Linked DNA regions of Pelodiscus sinensis. The protein of the gene in region 1 binds, or shares a complex with, the protein of each later gene. Links are inferred from orthologs where the notes say so. Each region holds a gene or a part of one and is shown on either strand. Other genes may lie near its edges. The genes, in order: CWC22, CRNKL1 and PPIL2.

What was found.
Region 2: CWC22 (region 1) and CRNKL1 share a complex: the UniProt entries of both Homo sapiens proteins name them as parts of the minor spliceosome. The link is inferred for Pelodiscus sinensis from reciprocal best matches to the Homo sapiens genes CWC22 and CRNKL1.
Region 3: CWC22 (region 1) and PPIL2 share a complex: the UniProt entries of both Homo sapiens proteins name them as parts of the minor spliceosome. The link is inferred for Pelodiscus sinensis from reciprocal best matches to the Homo sapiens genes CWC22 and PPIL2.

What each region holds. Positions count from the first base shown.
Region 1 is NC_134717.1:47,653,146-47,656,892, reverse strand, and holds the start of CWC22 (pre-mRNA-splicing factor CWC22 homolog), read left to right. Parts: upstream 1-1,634; 5' UTR 1,635-1,702; intron 1,703-1,709; exon of another isoform or gene 1,710-1,884; intron 1,885-3,747. UniProt on the Homo sapiens protein: Required for pre-mRNA splicing as component of the spliceosome. As a component of the minor spliceosome, involved in the splicing of U12-type introns in pre-mRNAs. Promotes exon-junction complex (EJC) assembly.
Region 2 is NC_134713.1:194,839,082-194,842,828, reverse strand, and holds the start of CRNKL1 (crooked neck-like protein 1), read left to right. Parts: upstream 1-1,111; 5' UTR 1,112-1,250; coding exon 1,251-1,298; intron 1,299-3,747. UniProt on the Homo sapiens protein: Involved in pre-mRNA splicing process. As a component of the minor spliceosome, involved in the splicing of U12-type introns in pre-mRNAs.
Region 3 is NC_134725.1:17,530,664-17,534,410, forward strand, and holds the start of PPIL2 (RING-type E3 ubiquitin-protein ligase PPIL2), read right to left. Parts: upstream 2,457-3,747; 5' UTR 2,267-2,456; coding exon 2,235-2,266; intron 985-2,234; coding exon 935-984; intron 1-934. UniProt on the Homo sapiens protein: Has a ubiquitin-protein ligase activity acting as an E3 ubiquitin protein ligase or as an ubiquitin-ubiquitin ligase promoting elongation of ubiquitin chains on substrates.

The DNA.
Region 1 (3,747 bases):
GGTAAGTAACCGTTCTTTCTCATGCTAATGGACTTAATCGTGATGAAGGATGGTTGGGACACTATTTACCTAACAGTCAATGAAGGTGCAAACAGCTCCTTGTGTAGATTCCTATGTCAGGAAGGATACTATCTATTGACTTTGATTCTATCGGTTTCATTTTAACTACCCAATCTTCAGATACTGATTCCCTCCACCCTCTGTCTCCCACTCCCTCTTTTTTTATCTCCCCCTCCCCCGCCCCTTCTCTCATATTTATTTTGGACCTGTGTTACTGGCAAGAGTAAGTCTCAGGTCGGATACTGGGTTCTCAAAGTACAAAGACATGCTACACAGGTATCTGTCAAACCAAAGCAGTTTATTTTCTGTCAGCTATCAGCTGTGCCCCTTAACTAAAGGAATAACATGATAGGGAAAATGGCATTCTTACATCCCTTCTGCTAGCTGGAAACCCCCATTTCGGCTGCAGATGAAGTGGGAGATTGTCTCAGCTTCTGAGGCACCGGTACCCAAAGCCCATCGGTAAGGTCCAAATTGCTATGTTTGGTGCAAACTTTAAATACTGTGTGTCTAACTTGTTTGTGGCAATTTGGAAATTTCTGGGGGTTACTCATTGCTTGTTACAGTATGGCTCAGCTGTGCTACTTGTCCTTTGTTTACATGATCAGTAAATTTAGGTAAACAAGACTTATGTTCCCACCCTTACCTACAATTCGTTCTTGCTACAATGGCATATGTTTCTAGAGGCTTGCTTCTGGCTCATCAGTAGTAGGGAAGGGGAGATAGGAAAAGGGAGGGGAATGCAGGCCTCACCACCCTTATAGTCACACCTACAGAGTTCTTCTGCAATTGACCTCTACATTCTGCATATCCTAAACTCAAAACTCTGGTCATCTGCTACAAAGCTCATGATACCATCTACATGCTTTGTTAGTCTATAAAGTGCTACCAGACTATTTGTTGTTGTTTTTTCTGTACAGACTCACTCAGCTACCCCCTGAAGCTGCTAATCGTAGCGGGGTGGCCGATGAAATTTTGGGGCGTAAAAAAATAATAAAGCACTGTAAAACTCAAAACAAAAATTCAGTTTTCTCCAAATTTCAGTTGGGTCGACGTACCCCCCAAACGTCTCTCTGGGGGCATTGGTACCACTGGTCTACTGTGACCTGACTGGTGCTCGCTTTATCTGCGCCTGCAAGCTCTGCAGTAGCCAGCCACAGCACCGCTAAGGCTGAAGTTAGTTTGCACACGCTCAGCCTTCCAACAGCCCTTCCCCTGAAGACCCCGATCTGCACGTCCCCCTAATAATTCCACGCCCCAGTTACTCAGCGGTAGGTTTACCTAGGCGCGAGCTTCCTCCGGCCCCTAAAATACCCCTGCGGGCACTGGGGGGGGGGGGGGGGGCTCGTATTCATTCAGACCCCAATGGGTCAGCCTGGGAACTCCCGCTGCCTGCCGAGCCACCGACCCCAGGGCGGCACGTGGCGGGGTCAGCGCGGCAGGTTCCACGTCGGTTGAGTCAGAGGCACAGCCCGTGCAGCGAATCCCTCCGCGAGGGCGGCGCTGGGACCCGGACCTGGAGGGAGCCCAGAGACTCGCCAGCGTAGTGCATGCTGGGAGCTGTCGTTGAGGCCATTTGAGACTGCGGGGCCGCCATGTTGCTGACGTAGGAGGGAGCGCGTCCGTGGCGGATGCGAGAAGGGCGAGTTATTTTCTTCATTTCTTTTTCTCTGTTATTTTACCTCCGCTAAGCGTCGAATAAATCGCGTTACAAAATTATTACCATTAACGAGGCTTTACTCCACTTCCGGCAGTAAAACCCCACCCCCATTTCGCCGGACGTTATGTTACTTCCGGTAGGATGGCGGCGTTCGGGAGCCTGAGGTTAGTTCCAACCGCGCAGGAACCTCGCACAGGCCGCTGTGCCCTTCTCTGTCCCTTTTCGCGTGGGGCGGCTCTGCCGAGGGCTGCCTTGGTACGAGCGGTCGGGGCGGATGCCACCTCCCCCCACCTCTCCCTGGTGTCCCAGGGTTAAGCGCCCATCCAGCCCCCCTTCACGGGCGCTGCCATCGCCGAGACCAGCCCCGCGGTAGCGCACCAGCTGCTAGCTCGGCTCCTCACGAGTCTGTGTCTGGGTCCGCGCTGCCCCGGCTGCAGCACCGGCCTCTGCGCAATTGGCTTCGCTAAAAAGCCTCGAGTCCAGCTGCCTTGCTCTGAGCTGTGCGTGGTGTCGTGCCCCGAGCACCGTGGTTGCCTCGTGCTGTAGGCACGACTGGGGGGGGGGGGGGGGGGTTCTTCCGTGGACGTGGCTGCCCTCTCTGGCTACGTCTAGACTGCAAGCCTCTTTTGAAAGAGGCTTTTTAGAAAGATACTTTCGAAAAAGCCTCTTTTGAAAAAGAGCATCTAGACTGCAAGCAGTACTTTCGAAAAAGCAAGCCACTTTTTCGAAAGAAAGCACCCAGGCAGTCTGGACGCTCTCTTTCGAAAAAGCCCTGTCTGCATTCAAGAACGCCTTTTTTCGAAAGAGCACTTTTGAAAAAAGGCGTTCTTCCTCGTGAAATGAGGTTTTCCGCTGTCAAAAGAAAAGCTGCGTTCTTTTGATTTAATTTCGAAAGAATGTGGCTGTAGTCTAGATGCAGGTGAAGTTTTTTTGAAAAAAGACTACTTTTTTCGAAAAAACCCCTGAGTCTGGACACAGCCTCTCAGAGGTGGATAAATGACATCGAAGGAAAAAAACCTTTCAGTAGCTGTGGTGTTAGTAGTGTAGCCATAAGAAGGCAGGTAAAGCTACAGGAATCATAGAGGTCTTGGGGCTTGCTGGCTGTTGGCAGGCACTTGGGAGTTTGTCACAACCGTAAGGTTTATGTGCAGTAGGAATTGGTGAAGGTCTCTTCAAGAGACCCTCCAAAGAACAGTGACATTTTTCAATCCCTGCCAAAGAACAGGGTCAGAACATAGTTTAGCTTGCAATTGGCTATTTTCATTTGGCAGTGCCTAATTAAATTATCAGGCCACTGGTGGATTTTGGGGGGAGGGGTTAGTATTTTGGGTGCCAATTTTTGTAATACAGGCAGTCCCCGGGTTACGTACAAGATAGGGACTATCGGTTTGTTCTTAAGTTGAATTTGTATGTAGGTCGGAACTGGCTCCAGATTCAGCTGCTGCCACTGAAACTGACCAGGGGCTGACTACAGGAAGCCGAGGCAGAGTTGCTCTGCCCCCAGCTTCCTGGAATCAGCCTGATCAGTTTCAACAGCTGCTGAATCTGGAGCCTGGGACAGAACAGCTGGGGCACTGCCCGGTAGGTTCCCACAGGACCAACCCGGCAGCACCCCAGCTGCTCTACCCGAGGCGTCCCGCAACAAAAGCCTGGTCTGCTGAGGGGGGGGTGGGCGCACTAGCTGCGCTCCCTCCCCCCCAGCAGACCAGAGAGACCCGAGCAAAGCCGCACAGGCGGAGGGACCCCGCTGCCCGTGCGGCTTTGCTCCTGTCTCCCTGGGGTGCTGGGGGGAGTCCCTGCCAGCACACCAGGGAGACCCGAGCAAAGCCGCACAGGCGAAGGGACCCCGCTGCCCGTGTGGCTTTGCTCCTGTCTCCCTGGTCTGCTGGGGGGGGGTCCAGCAAAGCCACTGGACCCCCCCCCCCAGCAGACCAAGGGGACAGGAGCAAAGCCGCCCAGGTGGCAGGAGTCCTGCTGCCTGGGCGGCTTTGCTCCCGGGCAAACGAGCAAAGCCGCCCAGGCGGTGG
Region 2 (3,747 bases), on another chromosome or scaffold:
ACTTTACATTTATCAACATGACATTTCATTTGCCGTTTTGTTATCCAATCACTTAGTTTGGTGAGACCTTTTTGAAGCTCTTCACAGTCTGCTTTGGTCTTAACTATCTTGAGCAGTTTGGTATCATCTGCAAATTTTGCCACCTCACTGTTTACCCCTTTCTGGGTTTCCCAACCTATACCTTGTGACCCAAATATGGGTTGCCATTACATTTTAAAAGGTTTGCCAAGTATCTCCCCAGGTGGCTCTGCCCCCCCCCCCCTTCCTCCCTCCATTTTTGAATTGCCGTGGGTCATCAAGTCTTCCTGAATTGTCAAAATGGATCCTGATCTGGAAAAGGTTGGGAACTGCTAGATCATTTATAAATAAGTTGAATAGGATGGGTCCCAAGACCGAACTTTGGGGGACCCACACATGTTACCCCTCTCCACTCGAAAACTGACCATTTATTCCTACCCTTTGTTTCCTGTCTTTTAACCAGTTATCAGTCCACGAAAGGACCTTCCCTCTTATCCCATGACAACTTTCTTTTGAATCAAGTACCAGCCGTGGACATTCACCCAAAATACAGTTCACTGGTTCTAGTCTGACCCAGCGTGGCCGTTCTTACACTATGCAGCTACGGATTTATTTTCTCAAATAAGACCGTAAGAGCTGCTGGAGTTTTAGAAGGCCCACAGGCGTGGCCTCCCACCGAGCAATGGGGCGAGCAGGTTGGCCGCTGTGCCCCGCCCCAGTTGCGCCTGGCCCCGCTGCTGGAACTCATGGCGCAGCATTGGCCACGGCCAGCCCCGGGCCAAGGGGAGCTGCAGTTCTCGGGAAGGCCACCAGGGGGCAGCGCAGAGGAGGCGCTAGGACGAGCTCTCAAACGCGCTGCATGCTGGGAGCGGTAGGCGCCGTGCGGGAAGCGCGCGTTGCATGCTGGGCGATGTAGTCCCAAGGGTGAGGGGAGCTACGGGAGATGGGACCCGCTCACCACTGTGGCCCCGGCCCGGGAGCGCCCTTGCCCCGCCCTCCCAGAGCGCCGCGGAGGTTACCAGGGGCACGCAGCGTCCTGTGGACCCCGCCGGCTCAGCGCTATGAAGAACTGACGCCGCCGCCTCACCCGGGACGCAGCGACTCCGCCGCAGCCGTTGGGAGACGCGCGGCCGCCGCTACCGTGGCAACGACCCGGGTGACGCCGCGCGGGGTGAAAGGTGAAAGGTCAGCGCGGGGTGGAGGCAGGTGGAGTGCACAGCAGCGGCGGCAACATGGCGTCTACGGCGGCCGGGAAGCAGCGAATCCCCAAAGTGGCGAAGGTGCGGGGGGGACAGGACCCAGCGCTAAGGGGGGGTGCCCCCCGGCTGGGGGGGGGGGCGAAGGGAGACGGGTGGGGGCAGGGAAAGGCGAGGCGGTGCTGGGGGAGGGCACGAGGGTGAGTTCTCGGGGGCCGGGGTGTCTCAGGGAGGGAACTGGGGGCCTGTGACCAGGGGGAGGGGCCGCCGGGGGTATGGGGGGGGGAGAAGGGCGATGCCCCAGTGGACCAGGAGGGAGCTGAGGGGGGGGCAGTGAGGAGGGGGGGTCGCTGGCGCGAGCGCTGCTGCAACAGCTTTGGCTCAGTGCCTGGCACAAGCAGCCCGAGCCCAGCTACCAGCTTCACTGGGGGGGAACCACACAATCATGAGGGGCCCCCCCGCACTTCATGGGGGCTGTTGTGAGCCTTGCCGTTCCTGTCCCTGCTCTGCCTGAGTTGGTGCTTTACCACCCCCCGGGAGAGCAGCGATAGTCAATTTTACTTTAAGGGGCTGAATAAGGCAGTGCCCACAGCTTGCCACACCAAAGGGCTTTTCAGGTGTCTGCTCTGTAGCAAGCCTGCTACTGGCAAAGGTTCACGCCCTTTCCAGAGTAATATAACAGAATATTTGTTAGTCTCAAAAAATTAGCCATGCCATGAACAGTAATCTAACAAAATCTTGCAAACAAAATAAGGAAAAACACTAGTGTTATTAAAACATGCAGTTAGATTTCTAACATCTAATTTTAATTTCATAGTTATAAAGTCACATGGACATCAAATTTCCCTTTCCTACAGCCTGAAATATTGGTACTCGCACTATTCCTCCCTCCCCAGAAAAGTACTGCAAAGCATGTGGTCAAGCTAGCTATTGAAAGTACATCAATTACAGATCACCCTATGTTGCATAAGCATTTGATTAAAAGCATTCCACCATAAACTGAAATGTAAACACAATAGAACTAAGCTCTGATAAGGAAAAGTTTCTAAATTATATAGATGGCATGATGGTAGAAAACAAACTGAAGTGCATCTGGCCAATTCCCATCTGTTCTACTCTGTATTTTTCCTCCCCCATCTCTCTACAACACCCATGTACCTAGCCCAATGGTTTTCAACCCATTTACCATTGTGGACAGCATATGTAGCTCTTTCTCTATGTAAGGTGAGCCACATCTACACATTTTATATATACTATTTGCGTGGCCCTAAGGATGTCACATAGGCTACAGCTGTGTGCTGATTGGGCTGCTAATTAAGAACCAGGGCTCAGCCCATCCTGCCTCCAGCCTCCCTTCTGCTCTTACTGGACTTTTTCCACACACACCCCTGTCCAAGGGGAGGGTGCTGCAGTAGTATCCCTCTGCCTCTCCAGGCAATCTCAGAGGTTTCTTACTCCCCCTCCCATAGTAGGATGTTAAAGGGATGAGAAAGGAGTCATTCCCACTTATAGGGGGCAGGGAAAGAGGGAATGGAGACCCTGAGTTGCAGAGCTTTTTCTTCATCCTCCCCAACTCTCCTGTGAGTAGGGATAGTTCCTCCTGCCTTTCCTCTGAAACTAGGCTAGAGTCCTGAAGGGCAGGGGAATGAGACCCTCTGTGTCTGGAGAAGCTTTGATTGACTGTTTCTGAGGGTATAAAGGAGCAGTTGATGTCCTGTAGCAGGTCAAACAGAAAGCCCTGGTGACAGGGTTAAAGTCTATGAACCACCAATTAAAGAACAGTGTCAAAGAGCCATTCTTTCTCACTCTGGGTCAATGGATATTTAATTTATATGAAGTGAAGCAGCTCCAACAGTTTATATTGAGAGAGACCCATCTGAGAATAGTCAATACCCATGTGGTTTGGGCAATCACCTGGGATTCAGGTCCCTGCTCTGACTCAGTCAAAGCAGGAACTTGGACTGTAAAAGACCCAAGTTCAATTGACTATCCTGATTATTGGCTTTTCTGATCAAGTGTGTTTTTTTTTAACTGATTCTGATGAGAAATTCTGTCCGTGACCTGAAAAAACTTCCCCCAAAAATTTCATCAAAAATTATACATTTACGTGAAACGTTTTGGTTTTGATAAATCAACATTTCCAACAAGAAAAAGTATTGAAAAATTCCCACATCGCACTGATACGCATATCCTTAGCCTTATGGGCATGAATAATTATATTGAAGTCAATAAGAATACTCGTGTAGTTAAGTTAGTATATGAGTATTTGCAGGATTGGAGCCTTACTCTGTATTCCAAAAAATGTAAAAACTCCTGGTTTTATGCAGTAGAATCTCAGAATACAGATGTAAGTGACTAGTTGCTTCCCCCACTCCCCCTTGCTGCCTCTATATCAGATGCTATTAAAAACTAGTTCTGCCCAGCACAGACTCTGCGGGGAGGCAGAGGCACAGTGAGGAAGATGACACAAGTTTTCCTCATGCTGGTTCCCAGACGCTACAGCTCTGTTTTTAAATGTAGTAAGAGCCACCAA
Region 3 (3,747 bases), on another chromosome or scaffold:
AAATCTTAAAAAAAGGGTGGAGATGCAAGAAACAAAAGAGGTTTACGCTGACATCAGGGAGCCGGAGGGGATGAGGAAAAGAGATGGAACACAGGGCTCTGTAGGCAAAGTCACGGAGTTTAGGTTTGGTGGACATAAAGTGAGAAGCTTGGGATGACGTGGTGGAAATAAGAGCATTTTGGTTTTGTGGACATGGTTAACATTAGAGACCTGAAAATAGATTACAAGTGTAGATGTTGCTAGGACATGAATGAGAAATTCAGTTATAGGGAGAGAAATGAGTGAGATTTTCAAATTCTGTGGAGGACAAGACTCAGCCGAAGTCTGACTGTAAGGGGAGAAGTGTGGAATCAAATATAACACCCAGGTTACAAGCATCAGGATCCCACTGTAACTGCTTTGATGTAGCCAAACTGAGATTGAAATGGCAGTGAACTATACAGGATGACATTTCCAGGGATAATGGAAAGAGCAAAGCTAAGAAAAGGATATAAGCCCAGAGGGAAGAAGAATATTTAAAAGTCATTCATGCAAAAGTGATCTGTAATTGCATGTAAACACATGAAATAATCAGGGGAGAAGGCACAGTCGGCAAGGATGGCACCCTGAAAGAGTCCAACAAAATAAAAGGGTAAACAGAAAAAGAGGTACCGAATGCATGTTTGGAAAGTCAGAGCAAGATCCAGGAAAGGATTCAACCAGGAAGGAAAGGAGGATAGGACACAATAAAAGAGAGAGCAGTCAACAAGTTTAAAGGCAACAGAAAGAGGGGGAGCATGGCAAGCAGGCCTTGAGACTTAGCCAAGAGGTCTTTCACAACTTCAATGAGAGAAGAATAAGGAAGAGAAAAACAGACATCAGCACTGAAGTGTGAACATATGTACAAATCAGAAATAATTGTGAAAAATAACAAAAAGAAAACACAGTAACTTACCTGCTTTCTTTCCTCCATAAAAGTGTGTATATTCTGCACATGTTATGTACCTAAAGAGTAAAGCAGTGTTAATGCTTAATACATTGCACTAATGATATTTAGCAGAAACCAATGATTTTTCAAACTGAAAGTTATATTAATAAGAGATATTAAACATTCTTAGCTACCTTTTTTACACTTTTACCCAATATAGCCAACTCTGATATTAGGTGTCACACCTCAATGTTCCCAATACGAAGAGCTTTGGGGCAATACCACAAAAAAAGAGAAACATACTATGTTGCCACCATATCATGCCAGAGACCAAGTTATAACACAGATGACACTTTTGTTTGCTTTATTGTCACTACGGATGATTCCATAACAACATCTGGAAACTGTGCATTAAGCCTTGAAGCAAAGGAACAAGGTTGACCCACAAGTCACTATTATAGCTTTTGTTCTATATTTACCACGCCAAACTTTTCTTCAGTGCCTAACACAGATACCCCAACTCCTGACCAAGCTGTGAGCTTACAAAAAGCTCTCGTACAGAACACAAGTTCTTGGTTCTATCTAGCTTCTTCTGGATCTGGGAGAATAAAGAACTAGCCGGGGGAAGGGGCACAAGAAAAAAGATTCACATTAAGTGAAAGATGTGAATCTGAAGTGCCATTTAAATCCCTTTGTAGAAACTGAGTTGACACACAGATTTAAGTTGCATCACTTCAAGTTCACACCTTCAATTAATCTGTATTAACTTTCCCAGACATCTCGGTACAGACAAATTCTAAGTATCTTCAAGCTACAGGTGTTAAAATGTGTTTATTTAAAATGCATAAATTTTCAGCGAGTACACGTTTACATACGCGGGTGGGAGGAAACAGGAGCTAGTGCTCCTTGCACATACTGGCTTCCACGCCTGCCACCGCCCCCCCGCCTCTGTTAGAAGGGGGGGGAGAAAGGCCCCTTAGTGTGTAATCGTGTAACCAGGGGGAGCAGCTGCCTCTTCGCACCTGCCACTTATGCCCCTGCGCCACCCTCCACCCCTTCATTAGACTAACGGCGCCTAAACCCTGCTCCTGCCGGCCCCGCCCGGGCAGCGCTCGTGGGGGAGAGCCTGGAAGGGGTCGGTCCCGCCACTGGCTCAGAGGACGCGCCGCTCCGCGCGGCTTAGCGGGCTGCCCGCGAGACAGCCGCACGCGCGGGCTCGGACCCCCACGGCCTGTCACGCCCGACAGCGGCCTGGACCGCGGGGAGCCAGGCCCGGCCACTGTCCGCGCGCCTTGAGCCCCGCCAGAACAGCCCCCCCCCTCCTCACATCTTGTCCTTCTGGTGCTGCCTCTTCCCCATGGCGGCGGTTCTGGCTCTTCCCCGGCGCAGGAAACGCGCCCCCTGCCAAGGGGGGACCCCGAAGTGAGGCGGACCAGCGAGCTCCGGCAGGCCAGCTCCCCCAGGGCTAAGCCGGCTGTTCCGGGCACCTCAGCGACTTCCGGTAGTACGGCGTGCGCCGCTAAACTAGTCACGCCGTACAACCCGGGCGCCCCAAGCACCGTTCCGGAAAGAGCCGCGGCCGTGTGAGACGCCGCTACTCGTAGCAGTTTCTGATTGGTACGCTCGTAAGGATCGGCTCCTATAATATATTGCTCCCGGAAGTAGCACCATCTTTGCATAGAGCTGCTCCTGGTAGCAATTACTGACAGGTTTGATTGTAAGACAGCTGCCCTTATAAGACATTGCTACCGAATGCAGCGCAACCCTACAGGGAGCAGCTACATAGTTATAAAGTGTAAGAAACTGCTAGGCTACGTCTACAGTGGCATGTGCCTTTGCGCAAGAGCATTCGTGCCAGTGTAGACACTCTCTTGCACAAGAAAGCTCCAATGGCCATTTTAGCTATCGGGCTTTCTTGCACAAGAAATTCATGTGGCCTGTCTACACTGGCCTCTTGCGCAAGAACAGTTGCACAACAGGGCTTACTCCTGAGCAGGAGCATCATAGTTCTTGCGCAAGAAGCCGTCAGTGTTCTCGCGTCAGTGTTCTCGCACAAGAACTCCCCGCCAGTGTAGACAGGCAGCATGTTTTTGTGGAAAAGCAACTGCTTTTGCGCAAAATCATGCCAATGTAGACACAGTCCTATTGTTAAACACTAATACCAGAGGTAGCCAATTTCTATAGACCCAGTGATTGTTGTCATGTTTCAGGCTTCTTGCCCAGTGCTCCAGTTGAGGATTAATCAGTGCAAAGTACAGCACATTCTTTACTTATTGCATCTTGCTTACAACACAGGTTTGCCATTTTTGCCTTTATACTGTTGACTGGTATTTAGTATGTGGCCCAAACCACTTGCAAACCCCTCTCCATGTGTTATCATTCACAAACTTAATAAGGACACGCTCTAAGCAGAGGTGACTGATGAGGGGGGGATGTGGAGGGCCTGGACTAGAGAACCCACACATCTATTCCTCCCCTTTCTGGCTCTGCCCTTGCCCTGCCTCATCCCCACACATACTGGCAGCATCAGGGGAAGCACAGTAAGGTGGCTCCAGCTCTCTTTGCTCCCCAGGTTACATCGCTCTGCTTCTGTCCACATGTTTTGGGGGATTGTTACTGTTATTGCCCCTCCCGCATCTCAAAGCCATTATCTAAAGCAGTGACAAAGATTTTGAATTGAAATGGATCTAGAACTGATCACTGCAGGACAACACTCATTATGCCCTTATAGCATCACTGTAAACTACTGATAACTACACCCTGGGCACTATTTTCCGAACAGTTTGGCACCCACCGTATTGTAGCTTCATCATGGTTTCATTAGTACCAAAAACATTGCT